Linked DNA regions of Lytechinus pictus. The protein of the gene in region 1 binds, or shares a complex with, the protein of each later gene. Links are inferred from orthologs where the notes say so. Each region holds a gene or a part of one and is shown on either strand. Other genes may lie near its edges.

What was found. The genes of interacting proteins can lie anywhere in the genome.
Region 2: DNA polymerase delta subunit 2-like (region 1) and DNA polymerase delta subunit 3-like share a complex: the UniProt entries of both Homo sapiens proteins name them as parts of the both the DNA polymerase delta and DNA polymerase zeta complex. The link is inferred for Lytechinus pictus from reciprocal best matches to the Homo sapiens genes POLD2 and POLD3.

What each region holds. Positions count from the first base shown.
Region 1 is NC_087254.1:6,787,828-6,795,241, reverse strand, and holds the start of DNA polymerase delta subunit 2-like, read right to left. Parts: upstream 3,026-7,414; 5' UTR 2,440-3,025; exon of another isoform or gene 2,436-2,439; intron 1-2,435. Other genes in the region: uncharacterized protein LOC129269026, read left to right, coding at 3,058-3,102, 3,684-3,909, 4,711-5,100, 6,064-6,162. UniProt on the Homo sapiens protein: Accessory component of both the DNA polymerase delta complex and the DNA polymerase zeta complex.
Region 2 is NC_087260.1:25,102,408-25,109,770, forward strand, and holds the start of DNA polymerase delta subunit 3-like, read right to left. Parts: upstream 3,001-7,363; 5' UTR 2,576-3,000; coding exon 2,510-2,575; intron 1,174-2,509; coding exon 1,118-1,173; intron 492-1,117; coding exon 389-491; intron 1-388. UniProt on the Homo sapiens protein: Accessory component of both the DNA polymerase delta complex and the DNA polymerase zeta complex.

The sequences.
Region 1 (7,414 bases):
ATTCATGTGTGTAAATAGTATCTTGATCTCCCCAAAAGATTAAGAGTCATCAGTCATGATTTTTTTTTTTTTGGAGTGATCAAAATCTTGACAGCTGAAATCTGTTTGTTACTCATTTTGGAGGTTTTAGATAATTTGCTTGGTTATTTTTCTTAGCGTAAGGCAAATGTACTTTACTAATATTACTTTCATAACTTTGTGATGTCAATAGCTAATTAAGTTGATCTGAATACACAAAAACAATATCATCATCATCACCATCATCATCTTGATGAGTTTCCAGGTCTATCTCTCATCCAAATTCTTTGTAAAATAATTTTTTTCATCGCCACCATGATCACCACCACCACTACCACCGCACCACCATCATCATCAACCATATGATTAATTTCAAAATCATGACCATGAAAAAACCATTGCATCTTTAATTCATTTCATTCACCAGTTTTCAAACTTTTACACATTTATCATCCATTGCCATAGCCCATGGCATTGCCATTGGATCTATCATCTAATAACAACGCCACGGTTAGTCTCCAACGTTTATTCTCTCAGTCTCAATTTAATTTCATGTTCTGGAATTCCTGGCCTGGCCTTGATAGATATAATGTGTTAGAAATGTTCAGTTCAGTTCAGTTCAACTTTATTCAATTCCAATATTGAATAAAGATCCAAAATGTTAGATCTATCAACAGTTAGTAGTAGATCTAGAGTTTTGACATCCAATTCAAAGGGATGGAAGATTATCCTGTTGACACTGCTTCAAAATGTAGGTGGTGACTTTATATTTAATTGTAATTATGATCTTAATATTTTAAAACTGACAATTCCTGAATGGTATAAAGATGTCATGATTAGTTGGAGCACAGTATTTCAAAAAACATAAAAATATGTGACCAAATAATATGGAATAATAGATGCATATTACAAAATGGAAAATCTTTTCATAAGCCAGAGATAAAAAAACAAAGGTTTTGTTAAAGTGTTACATATGTTGGATGAGTATGGCAGACCACTAAGATGGAAAGATGCTAAAAATAAAGGCTTAACATTTGTTACAAGTTTATGCCATCAAAATGGAAAGTATTTTTTCTATCTCAAAGCTTTCATCCCATTGTCGACAACATTTTATTGATTCCAACTTTAACTATTGATGGCATCACTAGAGAAGTAACAGGTGTACCAAAGTATATTTTTTACACATTTTTTTGAAGGAAAATAACCCATCAATTTCGAATATATTTACATATTTAAAAGACACTTATGGGCTTCAACAAGAAAGAAGTAAGAGAACTCTTAAAACTACCTCTACGTACTACTATAAATACGAGACTTCGAGCTTTACAATTCAAGATTCTTAATAATTTGATTCCTACTAAGGTTTGGTTATTCCGTATTAACAAGGTAACAGATACACTTTGTACATTTTGTAAAGTATCACCAGAAACTCTAATGCATCTTTATTATTCTTGCCACGACGTTAACCAATTTTGGAATAATGTTAACTGGTACACTTTTTGCTTCACTAGATCTTCCTGATTTCCTCTCAGAAAGATATGTTCTTTTTGGTATCTGTAAGCCCCAAAGTCCCAGAAATATATTTATATTGAACATTCTGCTCCTGACAGGTAAACAATGTATTTAGATGTCGATGTGACGAAACAAAACCTACTCTCCACCATTTTTGTAACTTTCTTTTATCATTTGAAACTGTTGAACATACCATAGCACAAAGGAAATGAAAATTAGGAAAACATGATGGCAAGTGGGCTATCATTCTGAATACTTTAAAGAGGCGTTAAAGCAGAAGGCTGTTTTTGTTATGTTTATTTTTTTATAGGCCAGGCCAAGTGCCTGAATTTCTTTTGTTGTAAACAAACATAGGCCTAGTCATATGTTTTCTTATCTTATACTACTTAAGTTAGAGTTAGACATGTTATTTTATATGCGGTTATCTGAACTTAGTTTTATATGTGATCCATTATATCATGAATGTTTTGTTATGTATATTTTGATGAAAAGGATCAATAAACATAAATTACAAAAAAAAGTAGATTATTAGATGATCTAACGGTTCAGTCGCACTCGTCATGCTCGTGCACTCAAAGTGAGTCAAACACTATTCGTCAAAGAGGAGGGTGTTCACCCGGTGTATTGCACCTGCCGGTCCCCGGTACTACAATACTGCAAGAATCTTCAGGATTGAAGGAGACAGTGTAGCTTGAAGAAGAAGAAGAAGTCTTGTCTTTCTTTAATAAAACTAGAGTCACTGCATGCTGCAGTCCCACTTACTGAAATTCATGTTTGCATTTTTATGAAGCAAGGCAAGCTAAATTATCCATTCCTAAAAATCTCGATCGCGAGGCCGAATGAGCTATCATGTATCATAAAATATGGTATTATTTCTGAATATTCGCAACTTCAAATTAACGTACCTACCTCAGCTACGCTTCGTCAAATCGATGCCAGATGGAGAGCCGAGGATTGGGAGCGCACTGGGGTTAATCGCACGGCATAGCCATAGGTTAATCAAGCGAACTCTGCGAATTCGGGATTTTCCCGCGTCCAATATGTAATTTGGTAAAAGTCGTTGTTTAAGAATAGTTTTGAATAATATTTCGAAATCAATTGTTACCTCTCATATCATTAAATAAATAATTTAATGTATTGTATATATTTTTGATATACATCAAAATGATATTCGACTCCATAGAGTAGAAAAGCTATTGAAATTTAATAAATAGTATTGAATAATGTTTTGTTCCTTGTGGTTACGTCATCATTGTTTACATCACGCAGCTGGTCGATGGCGATCGTTGTCTTTCTTTGTTCCAACAGGTTTGAAATAAGGCATTTCAGCACTCTTCAAACGTTACCATACGATAGATCGGGATGATTTAAAACGAATAAGAGCTATATTTTCAATTTCTGTTTTAAAAGTCGTAAGTATAATCATTTTATTATCATGATCATGAACAAACTGCAGCTGCCTGCGGCCTGCCTGCTCGAATTACGAACTGAGAGTGAGACGAGTCGATGATGAAGATGAGGATTGCAATGCATTTCGCAATGTCTCTTTGCCAAGGCCATGGGCTTTCCCCGGTTGGCTAAGTTTTTTTACTTTTAGGGTACTTTTGCATTGTAATTTTTTTAGACTTAGACTGTGTGTTTCCAATTTATCATTCTCCACAAACCTGCCAATTGTTGGACACAGACAAGGATCTATACTAGCTTAATTAGTTTGACTTTATATACTGATTACTGTCTTCATATTTTCGTAAACATTGATTGACAAGTCAGGAATTTTCATGATTTTTACCTCTCTTTTTTTCCGTTTAACTATATTTATAATATGTAAGGCAGGGTTTAGGAATTTCCTTTGATAAGTAGTTTATACTATTTTTAATTTTGAAACAAAAATAGTAGTAGATCTACTAGGTTTAGTTGATTGGAGCAATAATTGTTTATGATAATTGATATTGATAAATTTTGTTGGTGGTTTGTTTTTTCATTCATTATCTAAAATTGGGTTTACATCTCGGTTACAAACATAACAGGGGCAATTCACATACACATCATGTTTAAGAAAATGAGTAGCCTAAATATAATTTCTAAACTGACAGGAAATATCTCAAAAAAGCTTAACTTTAATTATTTGTTTTCTTCCTTTCGTGCTCTTGCAGGTCATGTTTAATCTCACCAGCCGTTTAGTTCAAGCCAAGGAGGCCAGTAATCCGGCCTCTCATCATGAGGATGAAACGGTGAAAGCCGGAAGACAAGCAGAAGAAAGTCTAATCAAAGACCTTGTCCATAGAGCTGGGGTGCCGTCCTCGTGCATCTACCAAGGTCTTAGGGTTCCCGATACATTCCAGACGAGACGATATGAAATAGATGTTGTCATTTTGACAGGTAAAATATTCCTTCAATAGTACTACCAGTCACAATTCTTTGACTCACTATTACCTTTTTCAGCCAGAGAACAATAGAATCAGTGGACCAAATCTATTGTTCTCTGGTTGAAACAGGTAATAGTGATTCGGTGACTGGTACTGTACTTGTTTCGATCACTTCAAAATTGTTTGAACGGGGTTTTAATCAAGAGAACATACTTTTGTGTACATCAACCATCTTCACGAATCATAGGTTTTCTACTCTTTTTTCCCCACAAATTATGAGCATTATCTGATTATGTGCAGATATTATCTCTTAGGAATTGCTCCTTGCAATGTTTTAAAGGTGAATCCCCCCCCCAAAAAAAAAAAAGAACAAATATATTTAAGATAATAATGATAAAAATCCTGCAAGTAGATTTCCTTTCTTAATGCAACTCTGTATACTGTACTTATATGTTATTTTGCAAAAACTTGCCTTGTAATCATATTGTATTTTAAGTTATTGACCCCCAGTTTGGGCTGCAAGTCAACATGTCCATTTTATATAACAATAAATACATGTAAATAAGAAATAAACAACAAATACATGTACCATGATAATGATAGTAATATTTTTTTTTTATTTAACTTGAAAAAGATCAATAAAAAGTGACAATACAAATGATATAAAATAAAAGATGACATGAAGATGAATGAAAATATAATGAAATGAATGAATAATTGAGTTCTTAAAAGAAATTGTTTGATTTAGTACTACATCGGCAGATGAAAGAGATATTTTCAAATTCATGGCACGTGTATTCTCTCTTTTTGACAGAGTATGGAATCTACTGCATTGAGGTCAAAAACTGGTCTGGGAAGATATCACTGAGCAAAAACGGCAAATCATGGGTCCGACAAAAAAACGTCAAAGACTCTAACACTCGATCAAGTGTGACCTACGATGAATCACACACTAATATCCTCCAAGAACTCAAATCTAAGACTCGGCTAATCAGGAACAATCTGCTGAGGAATGAAGCCTGTCTGGCAGAGAAATTCTTCTTCTCCAGGGTAGTTTTGATGAATCCCAAATCGGAGTTGGATAATTCGTTGTGGAAAGAGAATGAGATCGTGACCCCCGATAGGTACCCGTTGTTCCTGGATTCACTGAAGTCGAGCTACACAGGCAAGGTGGCCGGGTCTATCGTCCCTTCTTTTATCACAGGTATATAATTCCATCTAAGTTGTCATAGATTAGGGCTGGACCCAGGATTTACCTTGGCAAGAACTCGTTGATGATAAATTTATTAAAAAAAAGAGAAATGTGGTCAAAGGTCACCACAATCAGAAGCACCCCCCCCCCAAAAAAAAAAAGAGAAGAAAAATGAAGAATTAAAAAATCCTCAAATGGGGGAATTGTGGGCATATGCCTCTTTTGTACACCCCCCCCCAAAAAAAAAAAAAAAAATGAAAATCCTCAAAAGGGTGAAAATATGGCATATGCCTCTTTTGTTCTCCCCCCCCAAAAAAATAATAATAATACTTAAAACTCCTCAAAAGGGGGAAATGGGGCATATGCCTCTTTTGTACCTCCCTCAAAGCAAAAACAAAATCCACAAAATTTAAAAATGGGGGCATACAAGTCTCTTTTGTACCCCCCCCCCCCCCCCAAAAAAAAAAAAAAAAAAAAAAAAAAAAAAAATTCTGGTGTTGGTCATTCTATATCTTTATCCTAGAGAGTAGACAGTACATGTATGCTTGGAGATTTTGAGACAAATATGTAAACATGTATCTATACTACCAAAAAGATAGGCTTTGATCACAATGTAAATGTATACAAACTATTCCAATAAGTTCTGATTTCTTTAATTTTCTTTATGTCAAGTTAATTTCCCTTCTTGAGATGCAGTGAAATAAAGATTGACCATCTGGACTTTGCTTCTGAGTCTGATTGAGTATGGTACACAATTACAATCGATATACAAATATAGTATACAATTTGTTGAAGTCTATAATTTTTATTTCCAGATAGTGTTTAGACTACTCAAATCCACAACGCTTGAACTTAGCTCTGTTTATTTCAAACAATGATTTGACCAGAATTATTTACCAACGGGTCCAGTAAGGTCACTTTAGATTAAAGTTATCCTGGATAAGTACAGTATTTATCTCTTTCTCTTTGTTTTAGGTCAGTTATCATACAGTGCTATGGAATCGGCCAGGCATGCGTTAAACCAAATAGGAACCTGGGACATAGTGCATTTACATGGTGGAAAACAAATAATCGGTGAGCAATTCAATGGATGAAGTAATATTATTGTCACTCTGTACTCTGCTCTTGAATATTGTATGAAATTTGTGAATACTACATGTAGATACCATGAAAGTAATAATGCACCGAATGAGATGATAATCCAATTGAACCTATCTTTTTGTATCATTTTGTGAGAGAAGTTAGCTATTTTTTTCTTCCTCGCTTCTAAAGGTCAATACTACCTTCATAATGAAGTTCACAATTCAAGTTAATTTCCGGTAATTACATTGATGATCAGCAAATAAATAAATCAAAGACTGAAATTAATTTGACTGTGATGAATAATATTGTGAATATCTCTTTACCAAATGCTGTATTCTAAGTAAAACCTTTTTTATATGAATATTATTTTGTTATTATTGATAGTCCTTTATGGAGAATGTACCAACTTTTTTTTTCTTATGGTCAATTTCATAAGTCTTCTTATCGATTTTAGAACTTTGATCATCGCTCACTAGTGCATCATTGTTCAGTGAAGAGGCTTCCTGGGCCCCATTGCGTAAAATTTACCATTATGGTACCTTTGCAATCCAATGGTAACTTGCATGGAATCCTTGATTCTAATTAGCTGTTGATCGGCGTTCCCATGGTGCAAGTAGTTACCACTGGATGAAGTGGCGGACCGTGACCCGGAGGAGACAATGATTGGAGAGGCACTGTATTGTCTGTGAACAATGCTGTGCCCCTCCAATGCTTTGTTTCCTCTGGGTCACGGTCTGCCACTGACTGGATGACAAAGTTACCATAATAGTAACTTTTATCCAACGGAGCCCTGGGCCCCGTCTTACAAAGAGTTACGATTGATCCAATCAATTGTAACTCTATGGAGATCCATCAGTGTCATAATTTTTCCTACAAAAAATTTGCAAAATGTCCCTTGTAAACAAAGGCAAACACACCAAATTGTCAAGAAAACAATGAATTTATGTACCTTACGTCATATCTAGAAAACATTTTGAACATTCATGCATTTTAGATGTTGACGTTGCTGCATGGCTGTCCATAGTTGTGATTGATCGGATCAATCGCAACTCTTTGTAAGACCACCCAAACTTGATTGTTCGGGAAGTTTGTTCTTGTAGTAACTTCTGAAGGTTTCCGTGGCAAAGAAGAATAGTGTAGTAGGTTTCATTGTACACCATGTATCTTTCTTGGGCAAGTGTTGGTCCTGAAAAGGACCACTCAAACTCGACGTTTCGACGAGTGTGTTCTTGTCGTCTTCAAG
Region 2 (7,363 bases), on another chromosome or scaffold:
ATGAAACAAAAAACATGCGAGATGATGATTATTCAAATACTGCATTAATCTACATCCATAAACACATATAGATTGCCTTTTTAAAAAGTACTAGACAATTATAAACTATAAATTTATTTTTATTCCTATCATGATATGGGTCAATGTAACATGTGCAGTACAGCTTCGTAAAAACAGGAGTCTTCCATTGGAGTGTTATGACATTTTTTATAAAGAGTTTGAAAAAGAATAATAAACACACCCTAAGTTCTAACACTTTCAGAGCCAATTTTCTTTCTACCTTTGCATCCACTACTGGGACTGACAATGTATCTTCCAACCTGATCCACAAGACCACAACTCAAAGTTGGTAATGATGAAATTACACTTGAATGTTCGATTTCGTTACCTGGGTTCCATTTTTTGTTTCTTGCGTTCCTGTGACTACATAGGTTACTCGTAATGTGGAAGATCCTTTCTTCTTCTGGTCAATAAAGAATGTCTCCAGTAATCTTAAAGATTGAAGAAAACATAACAGAAATTACTTGCAGCATTAATCAAAAAAGAGGAAAAAAGGATTACCAAAATGGAATTTATAAAGTAATGACAGACAACTATTAGGAAATGAAAAAGAGAAAGGAAGATGGTATCATCTATTCTTGATGATGATGGTGATGATGATGGTGATGATGATGGTGATGATGGTGGTGATGATGGTGATCATGGTGATCATGATGATGGTGATGATGATGGTTGTGATGATGGTGATTGTGATGTTGATAGTGATGAAGACGGTGATGATAATTGTGATGGTGATCATGATCAATGAATATGATACTGCTAATAATTATACCATGATGATGAGGAATTGGATGTGATGAAAATTACAATGATTGAGTGATGATTTGGGGGTAAAGCAATGAATATTAAGTCCCCATCCATCATTGCTGTTATCTTCATTTTCATTTCTTTGAAATGCTGTGTCAGGTAAGTAGCTTTGCCACATAAAGCATCAAACCTTCTGTATTACATTGTAATGCAGTTTAGTAAATCATCACTCTACTAAATTGAGCAAAATGAATTTACAAATTTTACACATCTAGGGAATTACAATTATTTATTATCTCCTTGTATTTACCTCTTTGCTAAATTCACATGAATTTCTAGTGTCTGACTGAGCCACTTGTAAGTCACCTGGAATTGAGAGTGTGAAAATGATATGGTTGGTTAAATGTGTAGAAAAATCATCATAGCATAGATCTGACAGTTATATCCCAAGTCTACTTTTAAGATACTAAAAATTCTTTCAATCACTATTACACTTACATACATGTAAAACTCATTTATTTGCTTTTATTTCTTTATGATATAATCTTATTATTCTTTTTGGCCTTTTTGAGTTTTGGGGACTTGTTTTTTGGGGAGAAACTGGCCCCAGCCCCACTGACACTGCACCTCCCCCCCCCCCCTTCCTGGCTACCCGGCTTGAGCTCGCACCATTTCAGTTAAATTGGCAAAGCCAACAAAGGTAAAGCTAAAAGGAAAGGCAGAGTTTAAGAAGTGCTGGTATAGGTCTCCACGCGGATTTCGCTCCTGTGCAAGTCGAATTACTACATCACAGAATTGTGAAAACATGGGTGATTTCAAGTTCGGTGTTGGTGTTGAGAGTGTAAAAAGGCAGCTGAACCGAGCTCCAACACCGAGCTGGGTTCAGAGGAATGATACCGATTGCGTTATCGATAGCACATGACGTCACGCCTCTGCGCTGCGCTGCTAAATCATCTCAACTTCACGCGACAAGTCTCGACGACGAAAATGAAATCGGAGAGAAATGCATTAAATTCTCATCATACAGAATACCAATGTTTTAAATTAAAACATTGGTATTCAAATTTAATTAATTCAAGAATTCGAAAGAGTGAACATTATTCTTCATCAAAATATATACAGCTCAAATGATTTGTACTCATCTTAAGCTGTAAAAGCTAATTTTACGAGGATGTTTCATCGTGTTCGCCGCCTGTTCACGAGCTTGAGATTGCCAATACCAACACCAACACCGAACTTGAAATCATGATTTGCCCAATCCCTGGGGGTTGGTGTTGGTGAATGGGGAAATTGCACGTAGATCGTCAACACCAGCCGCAGTGCTGTGTTCAGCAGACGACATTCAACACCAGCATTTAACACGAACTGCCGGAAATACGTCATATTTTCTGAGGTCAATCCCAACACCAGCCTGATTTCAAGTACGGTGTTGTGGCTGGTGTTGGTGTTGTCACAACACCAACACCAGATTTCAACACCGTAGGCCTACTTGAAATCACCCAATGTTGGACTTGGATATGTGTGGTTAAGAATCGCATGCACATACCGTATGGCATTTCATTCGGCACGGCGATGTAATCATATTTTTGGCACTGCACAGCACAGCCACAGGCACAGGGCTTTTTTTTTTTTTTCTTCAATATTTTAATGTATAACTACAACTTAGGATCTACGGGACTTTTACGGTACAGATCATACTCACAATTCTGTCTTCGTCGAGGATATACTCCTCTAAATTTTCGAGATACATGCTTGTCTCGCTGTCCATTTTTATTCAGGATAAAATTTTTGGCCCAGTGACGTGAGAAGGAACGTAACACACTCGATCTTGAATTGAACTGTGGCGCGCCATTTGACTGACCCTCTTCAACTTCCGAAGTTCCGGTTTCGATTGCAGTGCTGTCGCCAACAAAAGCGTTCTTGGTAACGGCCTTGGTTCAGCTTTTTTGTAAATTTGGACTGTGCACGTAATCAGGGTGAGCATAAAACGACTTATTTTATTTGCAATCCATAAGTTTCTTGTAGACTACCACTACCATACCATTTTTGTTGTTGTTTTTTTGCAGGTGGTAGGTGTGGCCGTGGTCGGCCAGCGTAGGCGTAGCCGTAGCGAGTAGATGGAGCCGGGCCCTATCCGCCGCTTCTCCTCCTCACCTCGGCTCAGCTGCGGCCGGCTGCGATAGCCTTCGCCTCGCAGCTCCTGGAATAAGCTTAGCCTTAGTTTAGTCTAGACCAAAAGCTTTAGTCTCTGTATTTTGGTTGTTCCACTGAACATTTTTTGGTTGTTGCGCGACAGCCAAAGTAGACCTTGTAAATTGTAATTAACGTTAAGTCACTGTTTTTTTTCCTCTTTAGTTTATCTTTACCCGTTTTGCCTTTTCACCTTTTGGTGCATTTCAGGCCAAAACGGAATACATCTCTAAGACTAAGTTAATAATCTAATTTTGGTCCAGTTCTTTTTATATTTTCATGAAAAAAGACAAAAATCGATGAGCCCCTTCAGGGGGATTTTGCATTGTTAACCCCCTAATGGCGGCTGCATGATCGCGAGCCGTCTGTGTACGACTACGAGGAGAATTAAAAAAAAATTAAATGGTTAAAAACTCCTCGAAACAGACACAGCTGCCAGCTGTCTACTCCTGGACGAAATGCCTGGCAAGCTGGATATTTTGTTTGGGCGGTATCAGGTTGTATGGCAGTGTATCCTATTGCCAGACACCTTTCTTTCACTCACTTCAGTGCTTTAAATTGCAACTAAGCCTAGAGGAAATACAATCAAGAAAAATTTGCACTTGCTATTCCAAATATTAAGAAAATTATGAACACGATAAAATTATTTTACATTTACCAACCATTTTCTTTGCATCACACTTGCCGCATACCCCTCCACAAAAAACAATTATTTTCGTGCATGGCAAATTACATCATGATTCCGGACGGATAAAGATATTCTTGATTATAATGATGTAAGAAAGATTTTTTTTCTCTCTACATCTTACATCTATTCCTAAATAGATGTTTGTCAGAGATTATTCCCTCAAACAAAGATGAGCAAAGGAAAGTAACATCTACCATGGATCACCACTGATATTAAATGGAAAATGAGGAAAAGAGACAGGCTTTTTAAAAGAGCAAGATGACAGCTTAGTACTGCTGCTTTGGAAACCTACAGAACTTAAGATTCAGGAATTATGTGGCTAAGCTTGTTCACAGGCCTGACTACGTGAACAACATAATTGGAACCAGTCTTGTTAAAAACCCCAAAACCTTTTGGTCATACATCAAAAGCTGCCGCTCTGAATTCCTTGGAATACCATCTCTACGCACAAGTACTAAGACGTGTGCTACAGCCAAAGAAAAGGCAGAGGCCCTTAATGACCACTTTCAGTCAACGTTCACTCTAGAAAGTAGTCAAACATTGCCATCTAAAGATAACTCTCAGTCTCAATACCCACCAATAGGGCACAGGTCTACAACTCCATACTTAGGACTGGTGTGGAAAAAGCAGTTGAGACAGCTGAATCCATCTAAAGCATGTGGTCCAGATTAAATCCCACCGAGACTCCTGAAACTTGTATCCCAAGAAATATCTCCTGCCCTCTCTTTCTTGTACCAGCAGAGCTACAACTCTGGTGTTGACAAGCTGGAGCCAAGCGCTTGTTGTCCCAGTACACAAGTCAGGTGACAAGAGTGAACAGTATCGTCCTATTTCACTCACATGTATACGGTAAGCTGTAAACTCATGGAGCATGTTGTCCTTAGTCATGTCTCAAAGCACCTTGTATCTAACAATATCCTGACGGATGCACAGCATGGATTCCGACAAGGACTCTCCACGGTCACCAAACTAACGTCAGCAATTGATGACTGGACCTCTGTCATCCAGAAGCGAGGACAAGTTGATGCTGTCTTTTTTGATTTCCAGAAGGCTTTCGACAGAGTACCTCACCAACGGTTACACTCAAAGCTCCTGTATTATGGCATCACAGGTGATACGCTCAATTGGATCATGTCATTCCTTACCAACAGAAGACAAGCTGTGGTAGTTGATGGAACCAAGTCACAATGGAAAAGTGTCACTTCTGGAGTGCCGCAAGGCTCTGTGATCAACCCGACTCTCTTTCTATTATTCATAAATGACATCCAAGAGCAGATAAGGTCAAGTATGAGGCTATTTGCTGATGACTGTGTAATTTATAGAGAGATTTCCAAAAGTACGGACCATCACGTTCTTCAACAGGAAAATCATCAAATCAGGCCCTTAATTCCGTCAGAAAATATTTCAATTGTTTATGCAAAACTATGTTGTGTGATATTTTAAGCATTTTCTGTCATTTAAAAAATAAATAAGGTATAAGTATGATTTTTTGCGACTAGCTTGTTTTGCAATCTTGTTCTGTATTGTTCTGTGAAATTGAACTGCGAAATTCTTGCGGTAAGAAATTGTTTTTGTACGCAGTATATGTGCGTCCGGAATCATAATAGTGTCCGGTAATACAATACGTGACTATACTTGTACTCAAGTACATGTATGGTAATGGATTATATTCTGATCACTTTTCATGAATTCATATTAATGTCATTATTCTCATAAAATTCACTAAACGTCGCATTCACCACAAATATCGTACCTACAAATTGAAAAGAATGGCTGAAATTGTGTTTCTTTTTTTACGATTATCAGCTTCTAATCGGACCCCTCTTCGCATGTGATATGTTTTGGTCACTTGAAAAAAGGTACTGTATTACCTAACGTGTGTTTTCTATGGGAAAAGTTGAGAAAAAAACATTTTTCAAATTTCAAACATAATTAGGGTAGGCAATGGCACTAGATTTGTGCTGTATACATGTGTCCAATTTATCCAATAAAAAGTCAATAGGTGAGTTGGCCCCAAAATTTCTTCCTACATTTTGAGTGAACAATGTAGTTAAATGTAGCGACATCTTCAGATTTTCTGGCAGCCAAGTTGATTCAAACAATGTGACTTTTTTCCACGGCTCCTTTATACAGAGGCTCAAACAGTCTAGGTCAGCATAAAGACTTTAAAATGCCATTATTAAGTAAAAGATTTTGTGAAATAAAAAACTCAAATTGTTGGGTGCGCAGATGATCTAGATGGGTATAACTTTAGCCTAGGGCGTTTTGATATTGATTTGCTTAGCATTGCTTTGCCTTTGGCTTTGGGTTGTTGAAGGACAAGTCCATCTCAACAAAAAGTTGATTTTAATAAAACAAGCTAAATCCAACAAGCATAACACTGAAAATTTCATCAAAATCAGATGTAAAATAAGAAAGTTCTGACATTTTAAAATTTCACTTAGTTTGACAAAACAGTAGGGAAAGGTGGGGTAAGTTGAGCATAGGGGCAAGTTGAGCCACCACCCCCAAGCCAATAATGAATGAGTCACACATTGTGGTGATGGCATGTATTGATGACCCATTACATAACCCTTTACCCAACCACATTGTTTTTGACTTTGAAACAAAAAGTACTTTTTTAGACGGAAAAATACAAATTTCAGCCAAAAAAGTAAAAAAGGGAGTAAAATAGAGGAGTGCTTTTTACCCACACACGTCTTTGAATATAATAAAGAAATAAGAACAATATTGTTAGTCCAAGTATGAATCTTCATTCTGTAGTATTTTAAATGATGGATGCATAAGAAATGTGTGGATGTGAAAATATCGCATTAAGTTCGGACTGGGGTACTTTGAGCCAGCCAACATGGGGCAAGTTGAGCCATGGTAATTCTTATGGTAATAAGAATAAAAAAATTAAAAAACCTTGAAAAGCCATTGATATGCAGGCAGAAAGGTGTAAATTATCATGACAGTTATTTTCTTTTAGAGGTTGTTAGTATTTATAGAGAATTAGCAAGTGAAAAGACTTGAAATAAAAATTGACATGCTGCTTCTTCCCGCATACATTTTGTACATAGTTTTTGTGGCTCAACTTACCCCAGAAGGTGGCACAACTTACCCCACATATGGGGCAAGTTGATCCATTTGACATCTTTTTTTTCAAAGGTCACAATGAATTTCAGTGTGGGGGTAGAAAGTTATATATAGGTGAAAAATATTTTCCAAGAATCAAATTTAAAGGCAAGGTACTTATTTCTACAATATTCTTAGTCATATCAATTCTAACATGCAAAATGCAAAAAGTGTCACAACTTACCCCGCCTTCCCCTACCGGTAATGCACATTAAGGTTGGTATGCAAATGAGCAGACTGATGACGTCATCCACTCTACTTCTTTTGTAGAATCTACTTTATTATGAATAATACTTGAGAAATATGAAAAATTCTAGTTTTCTCCTCATGACATTGCATTGTCATGTGCAACTAAATTTTATTCCTCTCTGAACATGTGAAATTACCATTATTTTTAACAGTTTATGGTCAAGTTAAGTTAAGTCAAGTTGGTCCTTATTGTCAAATCTGTAATAAAAATGGAAATATTGTATTATTCAAAGAATGAAAAACAAAGCAAAAAAATTGTGAGTGAGGGACATCATCGACTCTCTCATTTGCATATCACTGAGTTTCGCATAT